2 linked regions of the Saccharomyces cerevisiae S288C genome follow. The protein of the gene in region 2 interacts with the protein of the main gene of each other region in a pairwise test. Each region holds a gene or a part of one and is shown on either strand. Other genes may lie near its edges.

Evidence for each region.
Region 1: the proteins of ERP1 (region 2) and ERV29 interact in binary tests that used the Saccharomyces cerevisiae proteins (3 or more experiments, as listed by UniProt).

What each region holds. Positions count from the first base shown.
Region 1 is NC_001139.9:1,057,401-1,065,305, forward strand, and holds ERV29 (protein ERV29), read right to left. Parts: upstream 4,191-7,905; coding exon 3,258-4,190; downstream 1-3,257. Other genes in the region: BGL2 (glucan 1,3-beta-glucosidase), read right to left, coding at 383-1,324; UPA1 (putative methyltransferase), read right to left, coding at 1,615-2,640; ZUO1 (zuotin), read right to left, coding at 4,452-5,753; BIO2 (biotin synthase), read right to left, coding at 6,413-7,540. UniProt on the Saccharomyces cerevisiae protein: Constituent of COPII-coated endoplasmic reticulum-derived transport vesicles. Required for efficient transport of a subset of secretory proteins to the Golgi. The C-terminal di-lysine motif is required for exit from the endoplasmic reticulum.
Region 2 is NC_001133.9:152,839-160,470, forward strand, and holds ERP1 (Erp1p), read right to left. Parts: upstream 1,887-7,632; coding exon 1,227-1,886; downstream 1-1,226. Other genes in the region: FG-nucleoporin NUP60, read left to right, coding at 1-1,038; COMPASS subunit protein SWD1, read left to right, coding at 2,167-3,447; replication factor A subunit protein RFA1, read right to left, coding at 3,916-5,781; tRNA splicing endonuclease subunit SEN34, read left to right, coding at 6,128-6,955. UniProt on the Saccharomyces cerevisiae protein: Involved in vesicular protein trafficking.

The sequences.
Region 1 (7,905 bases), on a different chromosome or scaffold from region 2:
CATTGTATACTCAAAATTCCGAAAAGAACATTTCATTTTTTATGAGGCAAACTGGACAACGCCTTCGGTCCTTTTTCATTCTAGAAATATATATTTATACATCATTTTCAGAAGATATTCAAAGAACTTATTGGGATGTCTGTTTACTGAATAAAGTATACACAAAATACGAATTTAAAATGGAAGGCATAAAATAGAAAACTTAGAAGTGAAAATCCTAAAACCGAAGGATATTTCAAATACGTAAAAGAAGTGAAAGATAAAATAAAGCCTAAATAAGGAAGAAAAGAAGGGATAACATTTTTTTTTGTTACTTTTTGCTTATTCCTCACCTAAACAGAAGGAAAAAGCCATTCTTGTTTAAAGAGTATTTTTAAAGCGTTCATGAAAAGTCACAGTCCAAGGAGTATTTCAAATTGTCACTTGAAGTGAAAACACCCCAGTGCTTCTCGACATCAGAGGTACCAGAGGTGTTTGGCTTCCAATCTTCATCAAAGGCTTCAAAAACAATAACGTTAACACCCCAAGCTCTCATGGAACAGATACCTTCTTTCCAGAATTGTTTGGCGTTGTCAACAGATGGGTAAGAACTTTCAAAGTTGGTACCATCAGTTGGCCAACCGGTCTCACCAACCCAGAAGGTAATATCGGTAGAACCTTTAGTAGATTGGATAACCTGTAGAGCTTGCATAATATCATCAAAGAATGAGTAAGAGGCATTTTGCATGGTTTGACCTTGCCAGTAGGAGAACGCGTTAGCCATAACAAAATCGGAAGCTTCGATAACGGCAGAATTGTAACCAGCAACCAAAACATTCCAGGAATCGACAGTACCGACTTGCTTACCAGAGTATGACTTTCCGTCAGAATCGGAAATGTCAGCAACGACACTACGGACGTCATTAATTTTGTCTGATAATTGAGAGGCAGTCAAATCGTTACGGTATAAGGCTTCAGAACCAACCAAGAAACCAGCAACAGTGGATTCTTTAATTTTTGGCAAATAGGTTTGCAAAGCAGCCTTTTCAGCAGCGTAATGACTGTCGTCTGTTGGCCAAACACCGACAAAGATAGTAAATCCCTCAGCTTCAGCAGCAGGACCTAAGTTTTGCAAAGTGTTACAATCTGAGGCAGCGTAAACTTTGACGGTGGAAGTGTAGCTCTTCAAAGCTTGTAATTCGGTTTCATAGTCGGAAGTGGACTTACAAGTACCATCGTTGTTCTTGACACCCAAGTTAAAGGCTAGTTCACCAATAGCTGAAACTTGGGAGGCTGTGAAAAATAGCGCAGTAGCTGCAGTAGCGAGTGTAGTAGAGAAACGCATCTTTGACCGTTTTTCTTTTTGGTTAGTTGTCTATCTCAATAAACTTATATTGAAAAAAACAAGAAGAAGTCCAAATTGTGAATGAGGAAAAGTTTCTTTATAAGGAGGCAGTTAAAATCAAAATAAACAAATATCCTCTTGTTTTCTTCGTGACATTTTTCTCTTTTTCAGGGCGAAAAACTGAAAGAAAAATTTTAACGTTTCTTTTACTAAAAATAGAACTGCATATCCGTAGAAAACGATGATTATATAACATAAATAGTAATATCAGTTATTAATTGCTATTTATTTCAACTTGCCCAACGCTGAAACATGGTAAGAGCTATGGGTAGGCTATCTTGAATGGGTATATTTCCCTGGGGTACGGAAGCAGGGAATTGCAGTTGACCAGAAAAGTAATGATGCAAAGAAGAGGATTCTAAGTCAGATCTCCTGAAACAACGTTTTAAATGGCCCCATTTCCCGAAGATAAGCAGGATATTACAGGGTTTTTCTGATGTTGAACTTTTTTTCAGTTTTGCGATGTATGGTAGCTTTGTTTCTACCTTGTGGTACTTTGACAACTCTTCGTCGTAGTGGAAGTCACCACTGTTGACCCAAACGATCTTTGTGTAACCTTCGGACACCTCATTCAAAGTGCTTGCCATTCGAACATGATAGCCGAGTGGTTTTCCTTTGTAAGCATCTATGGGTGACACTACTTCTTTGCGCTCTGTATCAACTGTTACACGCGCAGTATTGGGAATATTTTGGTTAGATAACGTAATAATTTGATTCTTTCCTATATACACCAAATTTGTTAGAGCATCATCAGATTTACCTTTTGAGCTATCTCGTGCGATTGATAAGCCTTCCTTGTAGTGTTGTTCGGCAGATGCGTTCATAAAAGGTAGCTGGTTCAATGGCGGAAAGGTAGATGCACACTTTAAATATAACTTGTTTTTTTTTTTGAATGTAGTATCCAGTAAGTTTGGAGGCGTTACAAAATATTGTAATAGTGTGGCAAGTAATAAACAATCAGAGATAGTCTCCTTTGATCTTGATTTTTTTTCATGCTTTTTATCTTTTGACTGGTCTAGAACTATGATTTCTTGAACATTGAACAATACAGCTGTCCGAGCTATTTGATATGCAGTAAATGTAACTTGCTCCAAATTATTACAATTGTCGATAACAGTTGTCGGTATGCATATGGAATATTTGACCACATTAGATTCTATATCCATGATTTTTTTTAGCTTCAATAGGCCTGTCTTTGCCTTTTTGGCAGCCCCCTCTTCGTGCTTAAGGCTCTCGGATTTATGTTTTACTGCCATCTTCCCCTATTATGCTACACTTCCCTTGGTAGATGTGTTTCACCTCATTGGTATCAATTACCTCCTCTACTTAATATCCCAATTTCAACATGGTGTTTTCAAGCGATGAGGTGGAAAAAATTTCAAATAATATGTTTGGGTGTGCCCATTATTGCGGTTTACAATAGTTGCTAAAGAGCTATTTATTAGGAATTTTTAAACTTTAGAGATTGCTTAAAGCGACTTTAAAGCGTTTCTTTGGAAAGATAGGAGAGCGGATGCTATCTCAAGAGCATCTCTTCAATGATTTAAGCAGTGACAGTGTAAAACAATTACGGACCAACGAAAATGGTCAAATCAAAACTAATTACAATAAATAAGTTCTATCATAATACAAGGGAATTCTGTGCGATATAACCACATTGATTGAAGGTAGAATATACAAGCCAACGTGAGACCAATCAAATTTCGTTAAGTGCGCCTATACAAAAAGAAATCTTTTATGTAGATATGACAGTAAGAAAAGTATATATGTGAGCTAGCAGGGTATTGAAAGCGATCACAAGAAGGCAAAACGAAATAGATTGTTAGAAGATGAGTGAACAGAAGGGACATAAAGAAAAGATTTCCTTTACAATCTAGTAAATCTTCTTCTTTTCATCAACGGATAATTCACCAGCGCCAGTATTAGTAACTAATAGAAGCCCACCAATGATGCTTAAGTTCTGGTAAAACTCATACTTCAAGAAATCTCTCTTAGTATTGTTATAAAACCAGTAGTTGTTTAGCGTGATATTGTAAAAAGTTAGTATCAAACCCAACATAATGGATGCGAATTTTGTCTTGTAACCAATGGCGAAACATATTGTGCCGATAATGGTCAAAACAACAGTAAACCATGATTTACTGAAAGTGAAAGCGATAAACATTAAAACAATTAAAATTCTACCAGCAAACAACAGGTAACCCTTCGCTTTGTCGTTTTTGCTGTTTAATTCAGGAAGCATACCGAATGTTGTCTTGTTTTGAACAATTGAATCGCTGAATGCAATTAACAACCCACCAATAACACTAAAGTTTCTTAGGACAAATGATGAACCCGTAAACAACCCATAAACTAATGCTTGAGAAATAACGCAAGCACATAACACACCGGTGGCATAATTGGTTTGCTTTCTTAAAACTAACAAACTGGCGCCAATCAACATGGAAACGGTAACAACCACTAGAAACACAACGACAAAGAAGTATGGGTAATGCTTCCACTTATTCAGATAAAAAATTTGATCTGACCATTGTGATAAGATCCTAAACGAATCTTCATAAAAGGTGGCCACAATGAAAAATCTTGACAAACTTGGAATGTAAGGCTTCAATTTATAAACAACTGCATTGTCAGTGAGCCCCTCAATTCTGGAGGCAAACTTTTCAAAAGAATGCTTCCATTGCTTTAAGATGCCAGAAGTGGATTGGTTCTGGTTTGATCTGAATTGTGCACCGCCAGAGTATGGTCCTTGCGATGATGACATTGGCATACCGCCAAAATTTCCAATAGGTCCTCTGTAAGACATTGATCTATCCTTTCAGTTTTGTTTTCACTTTTTTTGAGTCGTACTAATTGCAGCTATTGTAAGTAAATAAGGACACCTTTGATCTTTCGTTAAAGGTGTCCTTTATTTTTCGCCTTTCTCATTATTCCCTCTTCTCTCATCTTCTAGAAATACCTAAAAAGGGAACCGTTACCCGAACCTATTCATTATAGAAATAAAAGAGAACGTTCTCTATAATATTCGTATACATTCGTATATATTCTATTCCATTTCTTACGGTATTCACACGAAGTAGGACAACAAGCTGGATGGTAGTTTGCCAGAATCGACAATAGTCTTTGCAGATTCCTTCAAAACTTCCTTGGCACCAGCAGCATTGGCCTTGATCTTATCGGCGGTGGACACTAACTCTTCGTCATTCAAACTGTCAACGATCAAACCAACTTGTTCGTCAATCGTGGTGGCCTTGTCAGCATCACCAAAGTAGTCAGCTTCCTTAGCAGAGTTACGGATGGCTCTCTTGTTCTTTTTCTTGGCGGCCTTAGCAGCTTCCTTAGCCTTCTTTTTGTCAGCTTTTGCGGAGGCGTTAGCCTTGGCTTCAGATTCAGCTTTAGCCTTCGCTTCAGCTTCGGCCTTGGCCTTAGCTTCAGCTTCAGCTCTGGCACCGGCTTCTCTTTCCCATTTTCTTCTTTCCTTTTCCTTCTTCTCTTCTTCTTTGAACATTTTGATACGGGGATCTTCACTGACAGCTCTTTCAACAAGTTTGACCAATCTAGCGTTATCAGCAGTCTTCTTCTTGTCTCTTGCGGCCTTGTTCTTTCTTTCAATGTAACGCTTGTGGTCTCTGTTAGAAGAGTCATCTGGGACATCTTCGTCCAAGAACTCAAAGGTTCTCCAGGAGTCAAATCTGTGCCAGAAAGCATAGAATTGTTCAACTTCCTTCTTGGAAGAATCTTTGTTACCTAGAGAAGGAATAGGAGTCTTCTTAGAAAAACGAGCTTCAGCTTCGAAAACGGGGCCCCAAGCTTCATAAAAGTCATAATCGGTACCCTTCTTTGGAGGAGGAACATCGGCAACAAAATCACATGAGTCGTACTGAGCTCTCTTGTTGGAATCAGTCAAAGTTTCAAAGGCCTTTTGAATAATCTTGAAAAAGCCATCTTGGTCCAAACTACCACCAGCAGCAGATTGCTTGTCTGGATGGTACTTGACAACTTGTTTTCTGTGAGCCTTGATGATTTGACTTTCAGTAGCTCTGAAACGCAACTTAGACAAACCCATAGCAGCATACAAATCGGCAGTTTTCCAGTCTCTAGCATCATGAGTCAGTAAATCTTCATCGGCCAATTCAGTGTCGAATAACAACTCATCTGGGTCGACATTGGATTCATCAACGGTTTTGACGTTCTTTTCAGCTTCAATTCTTTCAAATTCAGACCAGGTGTGGTTTCTCAAAGTTCTTTGAGCATGTTGCAAAAAGAACTTACCAACCGGTTCGACCGGACGACGGACGAATGGGGTTTTGGTAGCGGAACTGTTGACTTCAACAGTGATGTCTGAGGTTAGGGTAGGTAAAGAAAACATCGTTACTCTTGTTGGTATATGTGAGACAAAACGAAGATTTTATAAAAGCATCGGTAGGAAAACCTTATGAAATTTTCTCTACCAGCTCTTGAAATAAAAATTTCGAACTCTTTGCAAAATTTCATCGAGAAAAAAAAAAGATTCGTATTTGCGGGTAATATTTTTTGGACATTTGTATTAGGAGCGTTATGTTCATTAATGTCATCCAAAAGATAGTTATAAATCTATGATTGTATGGTTTCTTTGACATATTTATAGTTAATATATATATATATATGTGTTTAATTTTATAAAAATTCCATCGTTTATATTCGATTATTTTTATATGTCAACCTTTTTTTTAAGAAATGTTCATATTTAGTCAAGTTCTTAATGAAATGAACGGTTGAAAGTACAAGGCAACTATCATTTCAAGATATAAAAAAATTGCCCAAAAAAAAAAGGCCATTTGATGAAATGTCTCATCGCGCTACGATTTCTGCTGTAATCAGAACTAAATGCGTGATCGGAAGTAATATTAGATATTGGATGCATAAAAGATAAAACGCCAGCTAACGATGGCAGAATAAATAGGTAAATATATATATATATAGGTTTTCTTAATAAATAAGGGAGAAATGTACAGTTAGAATCGTAGAATTATCCACATATCCCTATCTTCAAGATCTGTCGTACTTAAATGCCTCCATAGGTTGCAATCCCCATTTAGCCAACATTGCCTTGTCTTCGTCCCAACCGTTACACATTGTCGTCAGCATTTTCTTACCGGTGAAGATACTGTTACAACCTGCCATGAAACAGACAAATTGCTCTGTTTCTTTCATTGTATAACGACCAGCGGCAAGTCTTATAATGGCCTTTGGCATAACTATTCTCGCTGTGGCAATGGTTCTCAAAATTTCGTCGAATTGCAACTTTTTACTCTTTGGATCGGCAAGTTCCTCAGCCATTGGAGTCCCTTTGATAGCAACTAGTCTATTAATTGGTAGGGACTCAGGATGAGGAGACATATTGGATAATGTGTAGATGAATCCTATATGGTCGTCTTCGCTTTCACCGAGACCCAAAATACCACCGGTACAGGCTTTTATTCCAGATTCTTGGACATTCTTGATGGTCTGTAACCTGTCGTCGTAGGTTCTCGTGGTGATGACCTTACTATAGTGTTCTCTGGAAGTGTCGATGTTATGGTTGTATGCAGTCAAACCTGCATCTTTCAATTGCTTTGCTTGATCTTGATCAACCATACCTAAAGTAACACACGTTTCTAGCCCCATATCATTCACTTTGGTCACCATTTCCTGAATTCTTTTCATGGCTGATTTACGACCTTTCATGTCTCTCCATGCAGCACCTAGGCAGAATCTAGTAGATCCGTTTCTTTTGGCCTCTTCTGCCTCTTTAATCACTTCATCCACTTTAACCATTTTCTCAGCCTTTAGACCGGTATCGTTTCTCGAAGACTGCGCACAATACTTACAGTCCTCAGAACAACCACCAGATTTGATGTTCATCAATGTGCACAATTGCACTTTGGTTGGATCGTGCCACTTTCTGTGCTGCAATTGTGCTGCATGAGTAAGTTCGAGCAGTGGGGTATGATAAATTTCTTTTAATTGCGATTTTGTCCACGAATGACTTGGTTCATCTAAAGACAATGCATATTGTAGAGCACCCAGAGTACTAGCTTCTGAGGATGCAGTTGTCGATTTAACTGCGGCATTGGTTGCGTATTTAGTTAAAGCCGGTCTAGCGGTAGATAAATGACGGTAGATAGTAGACATCATACTGCACTAAATTGAAAATAATCGGCTAAGTTAGCTCTTCTGAGGACACCACTACCAGAAGAGTAAGATCTGAAAAATTTTCAGCAAGTATGGGAGCAAAAAAAGCTTTGCCCTTTTATATAAGATCTGCCTAAGAGAAGAAATAAAAGATACCAAGAGAATCTAGCAGAGTGGCAAACGAACTACATAGCCTGTAAATACAGATTAGGCAGCAGCGTAGCGGATTTTCCTCAGGCATCGTCTCTCACGTGAAATCTGTGGGGGCACCAGCGTGACAGGGACGGTTCTAATGCTTTGCACTTTTCAACAACTTTTTTCCATAACCAAATGCCGGCAAAATGGCTTCGAAGAAGACGCGAGACTTC
Region 2 (7,632 bases):
GATACTTCAAATGCGTCAATGAATACGACTTTGGGAAGCATTGGTTCAAGAAAATACAGTTTCAATTATTCTAGCCTGCCCTCACCATACAAAACAACCGTTTATAGATATAGTGCAGCGAAAAAGATCCCCGATACATACACAGCCAACACATCTGCTCAAAGTATAGCATCTGCTAAATCGGTAAGAAGTGGTGTTTCAAAGTCAGCTCCTAGTAAGAAAATAAGTAATACAGCTGCGGCATTGGTCTCACTATTAGATGAAAATGACAGTAAGAAGAATAATGCAGCTTCAGAACTTGCTAATCCATACTCCTCATATGTAAGCCAAATACGCAAACATAAGAGAGTTTCTCCAAATGCTGCACCAAGGCAAGAGATCAGTGAAGAAGAAACTACTGTTAAGCCATTATTTCAAAACGTTCCTGAACAAGGCGAAGAACCAATGAAACAACTGAACGCCACCAAAATTTCACCATCTGCGCCAAGCAAAGATTCTTTTACTAAATACAAACCTGCAAGGTCCTCATCCTTACGCTCAAATGTCGTCGTAGCTGAAACCTCACCTGAAAAGAAGGATGGTGGAGATAAACCTCCATCCTCTGCTTTTAACTTCTCGTTTAATACTTCAAGAAACGTTGAACCTACTGAGAATGCTTATAAGAGCGAGAACGCACCATCTGCATCATCAAAGGAATTCAATTTTACCAACCTACAGGCGAAGCCGTTAGTTGGAAAGCCAAAAACCGAACTTACAAAGGGCGATTCTACTCCCGTCCAACCAGATCTTTCGGTTACTCCTCAAAAAAGTTCATCGAAAGGCTTTGTTTTTAATAGTGTTCAAAAGAAATCACGGTCCAATCTTTCACAAGAAAACGATAATGAAGGTAAACATATCAGCGCCTCAATTGATAACGACTTTTCAGAGGAAAAGGCGGAAGAGTTTGATTTCAATGTTCCCGTGGTGTCTAAGCAGCTAGGAAATGGCTTGGTTGATGAAAATAAAGTTGAGGCTTTCAAGTCCCTATATACCTTTTGATAATGAAAATTTTAGCCGTGACATAATTACCGTATAGCCCAACTCAATACGTAAGTTTGTGTAAAATACCATTCCAAGATGATATTATTTAGTCATTTTTTTTCCACTTTCTCAAAAAGAAGGAATACCTTTAGCGGCTCTTATAAACTATAAATTTCTAGAAGATACATAAAAGGTTTTTAGTCTGATCATAAAATTTTTTGCTTAACAAAAAATTTGCCCAGGTGTTTCATTTGCCAGCCACAAGTAACAGCGAGAACAATTAATTGAATGACAATCCACCACATAGCACGAGAATTAACAGCTTCAGAGGCGTCTCTAAAGGTAGCTTCACGATCTCTCATCAATTTTTGCTCTCTTCTAATTTCGCCGATCTTGGAGTTTAGGACGTTAACCTTGGCATGTAGAATGTCAATAGTGGCTTTACCCTTAGAATCTAACTTTTCATCAGAGCCCACTTGGAATTCAACGTCAATCTTCGTTTTAGCCTTAATCAACCAGCCACCAGCTTCGGGCTGAATACAGATTTTATGTTCACCCGAATCAGACGCAAGGAAAGTTAAATCACCACTTGCTGAACCTTTCTGATGAACAACCAGGTGGTTATCATCAAAAGTTTCCTCAATATCAATCAAGACACCAAAATCTTGCGCACCAGCGTCTCTGTAATTTTGTAATTGGTCATCGTAAATTTGTGCCTTGTAAGTTGCTTGGAACAAAGTACCTTTAGACAATTCCTTGTGGAAGCACTTACGTTCAGCACCAGAAGTATAATAATAGAACGCAGTAACTTGAGCTGGTAAAACTAGACAGCAGGCAAAAACCTGTAAAAGAGAGGTTAAAAGCATGATTAGTAGAGAGATTGGTTACCTTTAAATACTTTTCCAAACTACAGAGGGAAGATAGAGTAAGTTTTGTATGTACACATTTCTGCTGATGTGTTTTTTTTTTTCAACTTATTACGCGATTCGTTTTTTTTTTACGGTAACAGAATACAGAATAAATTCACGTACAAAAATAGAGAATATATAAAATAATAGGTTGACGATTATATTGGATCTTCCCCTGGGGTTCAAGAGTCGAGACCGAGTCCTTTTAGTTTGTGTATATCAGCTGGTTCTTTTCGTTATGAACATCCTTTTACAGGATCCATTCGCTGTTCTTAAGGAACATCCTGAGAAGCTCACACATACGATTGAGAACCCTTTACGCACTGAATGTCTCCAGTTCAGTCCTTGCGGTGATTACCTGGCTCTTGGGTGTGCCAATGGAGCACTTGTTATTTACGATATGGATACGTTCAGGCCTATTTGTGTCCCAGGAAATATGTTGGGAGCACATGTTCGACCCATTACATCTATCGCATGGTCTCCAGATGGTAGATTGTTGCTTACAAGCTCTAGAGACTGGTCAATAAAACTGTGGGATCTTTCAAAGCCAAGTAAGCCTTTGAAAGAAATACGATTCGATTCTCCAATTTGGGGTTGCCAATGGCTGGATGCTAAAAGGCGGCTTTGTGTAGCTACGATATTTGAGGAAAGTGACGCATATGTTATTGACTTCAGCAATGATCCGGTCGCAAGCCTTCTCAGTAAATCAGACGAAAAACAATTGAGTTCGACACCTGATCATGGATATGTTCTTGTTTGTACAGTACATACCAAACATCCAAATATTATTATTGTTGGAACTTCAAAAGGTTGGCTAGACTTCTATAAATTCCATTCTCTATATCAAACAGAATGTATTCATTCCCTTAAAATCACGAGTTCTAATATCAAACATTTAATTGTCTCGCAAAATGGTGAAAGATTAGCTATTAACTGCTCCGATAGAACAATAAGACAATACGAAATAAGTATTGATGATGAAAACTCTGCGGTTGAGTTGACCTTAGAGCATAAGTACCAGGATGTGATTAATAAATTACAGTGGAACTGTATCCTCTTTAGTAATAATACTGCCGAATACTTAGTCGCTTCTACACATGGTTCTTCTGCACATGAACTATACATCTGGGAAACGACTAGTGGAACGTTGGTGAGAGTCCTGGAAGGGGCTGAAGAGGAGTTGATAGATATAAATTGGGACTTCTATAGTATGAGTATAGTGAGTAATGGTTTTGAATCTGGGAACGTGTATGTGTGGTCTGTTGTTATTCCGCCAAAGTGGAGTGCTTTGGCGCCAGATTTTGAAGAAGTAGAAGAGAATGTCGACTATTTGGAGAAGGAAGATGAATTTGATGAGGTCGATGAGGCAGAACAGCAGCAAGGACTAGAACAAGAGGAAGAAATAGCTATCGATCTTCGGACGAGAGAGCAATATGATGTTAGAGGTAATAACTTGCTTGTAGAACGGTTCACAATCCCTACAGATTATACGAGGATAATTAAGATGCAGTCATCATAGGTTTCTCTTCAAAAGGAGAAAGTTTAAATAGGCAACTGACACTGAAGAGGTATAGTCATGCCTACCGCGATTTCTTTGACACAGAATTGAAAAATTTTGCATTTTTTGGTAATTTCCTAATAATACGAAGTGCAATAATCTCACTTTGATAGGAGCACGTCATGATGGTAATTTCATACTACTGAACGTAAATGTTGAAGGTGAATTTGTAAAGCTTTGTTATTTGAAGCTGTACACCTAAAGGGCGGTAAATTGTTGGGTGTTAGTACCATGCCATTAATTAGAATTTGTTAGCATTTTTATTCATTTGTGCATTATGGGTTCAAATTCATATGACTGAACGTGTAGTTTCATATCCAGTCATCAAGAGATGCTGAACCGCCCTTCAAAAACTTGACGAAATAGAAGTTTTTTTTTTACATTTCTCATATGTTACATAGATTAAATAGTACTTGATTATTTGATACATTAAGCTAACAAAGCCTTGGATAACTCATCGGCAAGATAGTCGGCTTCAGCCCTGTAATTCAAGCTGTGTAGGTTAGCAACGGTATATCTAATTCTGCTTTGATCATTGTATGTATCCTCACGCGCTCTAATCCTAAAGTCATATTCGTTCATTTGGATACTTTGAGTAATTTTTGTGAATTCGTTGGGGTCTTCTTCCTTCAAAGACATTAATGTATTAGCATCAACACCCAATAATTGTTTAGCTTGGTCGTCAAATAAAGTGAGCCATAGTTGATTGGTTTCGTCAATAATTGATATTGTCAAGATGTATCTCCAATTTGGCCTTGCATTATTGGTGTCGCACTTCTCACATCTCCAAGTACCATCAGGCTGTTCCAGAACTTTCTTATTACAATTCTCATTAGAACAGGCAGGATATGCAAAATTATCAACTTTTAAGAAACTTATAGCAGCTTTAACACTAAAAAAGTCACCTTTCTCGCTTCTTCCTAGATTTTCAGCTTGAGCTCTAGCAATAGTAATACGCTGAGCAATGAATTTTGTTAAGCTAGCAGCCGATTGACCACCCATACCGGGTTCTTGCTTTAAAGTGATGAAGTTTGCGTTGCGGCCCTTGGAATCATACCAACCCTTTAAGGCATATGCCTCAGGAATTTCTGGATTCGGAATCAGGGTACTAGAAAATCCCATAGACAAAGATTTGCCACCAAAATCCGTCACACGAACACCTTTAATGGCAGCAACAGAACCTTCAGGAAGGTTGAAATCAAGGGCTTGCTGATTCCATAGGCCAACAGAGATAGAAAACCCAGAGTCGTCAACAATTGTGATGTCACGACGATCGAATTTCTTCCCAGCCCTTGAAGTTAGCTCAAAATGTGGGTTTATAGTTTGGATAATACCGAGGACGTCTACGTTGGAATTTACTTCCTGGTTCTGAATAGCATCTAGTTTGATGAAATTGAAATGGGTTTTCGGAACATTACTTTCATCGAAACATTCTTCTATAACAGTGTCTCTATCCAAATTCAGTTCATAAGGGTGTGTTAGATTAGTAAATTGGGGCTTAGCTGGTTGGAGTTTTGCCTTTGATACATAGTATACTTTGCCTTCTTGTAAAATTTCGTTAAATTTTGTAGCAAAATCATTAAACGCCGTGGCTCGGATTTCTCCAGAGGTATCCAAGAAGTTGACATTGAATAGTTTACCATCACCTCTTTGATTGTGCCACGTTTTAATTTCTCCCTTGTAGGAAACTCTTGCTTTGATAGTCCAAACGTTTTGGTATGGAGACAGTTGTTCGATGGCAAAAATTGGTCTGGTTTTTTGCGAATTAGGGTTTTCATTGGCGAATTTTCTCTCATTTGCATTCAAGTTTGAGTTTGAATGCAGCATATCAGGGACACCAGCATTGCTGGCGTTTGTTTGATTGGCAACATTACCACTGTCAGTTATATCTTCGTCTTTTAAGGTTTCATTTGGATGCTCTGAGAAATAGTTATCCAAAAAAGTACTAGTTTGGTTGACCATATCAGCACGCGACTGGACCAACTCAAAGTCATCTACTAAAAGAACGTATTTCTTTCTTTCCCTGACAATAGCAGGTTCTGCAATTATCACGCGAATGATATCACCCCTTTGTAGTTCCATTGACTGGAACTTGGATGCAGCTTGGTTTCTCAACAGAGCCTTCATATGGTAAATACCATCGGAAATCATGATCAAATTCTTTCTGTTGCTGTTAGCCCCATCAGATTTCCTGGTGTTATAAACTTGATAAACGCCACCGGTGGGATTATCGTACCTTTGCTTATTGGTGAAGATGCTATGAAAATCGCCCCTCGAAAGTTGAACACTGCTCATCTCTTGTAAGTATAATCTGGTCTTCTTGCTGGTTTCGCCTTTACCGTAATAAGAAGAGTGAATAGTTTTTGTTTTACGTGTAGAACTTAAAGTGATAACATTTGTTCAAGTAAACCTTTATGTTAGTTCACGCGTCTTTTGTCGCCTCGTCTAATTTTTACGCGTGACATTTTTCCAAGCAGAGATATTTTATTGAGCAGCGAAGAAGAGTTAGAGAATAAGAAAGTGATGCGATAAGAAATCCACCCAATTAGCATAGATCCTTTCGTATATGGCTGAAGAAGGTGGTACGCGCATAGCTATTAACATATATGCAAAAAGAACGGCAAAAGGCGAGGAGGTTTTTATGCCACCGCTAGTATTTGACATAGATCACATCAAACTTCTAAGGAAATGGGGTATTTGTGGTGTGTTATCTGGAACTTTGCCTACTGCAGCACAGCAAAATGTATTTTTGTCGGTACCTTTGAGGCTTATGTTAGAAGATGTGCTGTGGCTGCATTTGAACAATCTTGCCGATGTGAAATTAATAAGACAAGAGGGAGATGAGATTATGGAGGGAATAACATTAGAGCGGGGCGCCAAACTATCTAAAATTGTCAACGATCGTTTGAACAAGTCATTTGAATATCAGAGAAAGTTCAAAAAGGATGAACACATTGCAAAATTAAAGAAAATCGGTAGAATCAATGATAAAACCACAGCTGAAGAATTGCAACGGCTTGATAAATCTAGCAATAATGACCAGCTAATTGAATCTTCTTTGTTCATTGACATTGCTAATACCTCTATGATTTTAAGAGACATACGGAGTGATTCAGACAGCTTATCCCGCGATGATATCAGTGATTTGTTATTTAAGCAGTACAGACAGGCAGGAAAAATGCAGACCTATTTCTTATACAAGGCATTGAGAGATCAAGGGTACGTTTTGTCCCCAGGTGGACGTTTTGGTGGGAAGTTTATAGCATACCCTGGTGATCCTCTTCGTTTCCATTCACATCTGACGATACAAGATGCGATTGATTATCATAATGAGCCGATTGACCTAATATCCATGATAAGTGGTGCAAGACTAGGAACGACTGTGAAAAAACTTTGGGTCATAGGCGGTGTTGCGGAAGAGACAAAGGAAACTCATTTCTTCTCAATAGAATGGGCTGGATTTGGTTAAGCTGGGAATCAGTCATGTATAATTATTTTCTCAGAATTTATGTATTTATAAGGTTTTTCAGAAGCATACATATGTGTAATACAATTTTTAAATTTGCATTGATATTTTGATGCATTCAGCGGGAAAGTAGTTGTTTATCACTAGACATATAATTATGTTTATTTATATTTAGTGGGAGCAAAACAGTTTATTGAATGTTTACCAGAACCGAAAAAAAAGCTCTTCTAAACTGTTGACATCCAGTTCATTTACTTCCACGTGTAGATGTGAAGGAACAAATATTTTAGCATCGTTCATACAAGTAATTATGCTATATTATCGATCCTCGGATTTCAGCTTCCGTTATATCGGATGATTGTTACTCGACCTTTATGTCGTCTTTTTACATCATATATGATAATATGCTAGCAGTTTTAATACAAATTGATCGAAGATAGTTGGTTCTGAGAAATGGGTGAATGTTGAGATAATTGTTGGGATTCCATTGTTGATAAAGGCTATAATATTAGGTATACAGAATATACTAGAAGTTCTCCTCGAGGATATAGGAATCCTCAAAATGGAATCTATATTTCTACATACTAATATTACGATTATTCCTCATTCCGTTTTATATGTTTATATTCATTGATCCTATTACATTATCAATCCTTGCGTTTCAGCTTCCACTAATTTAG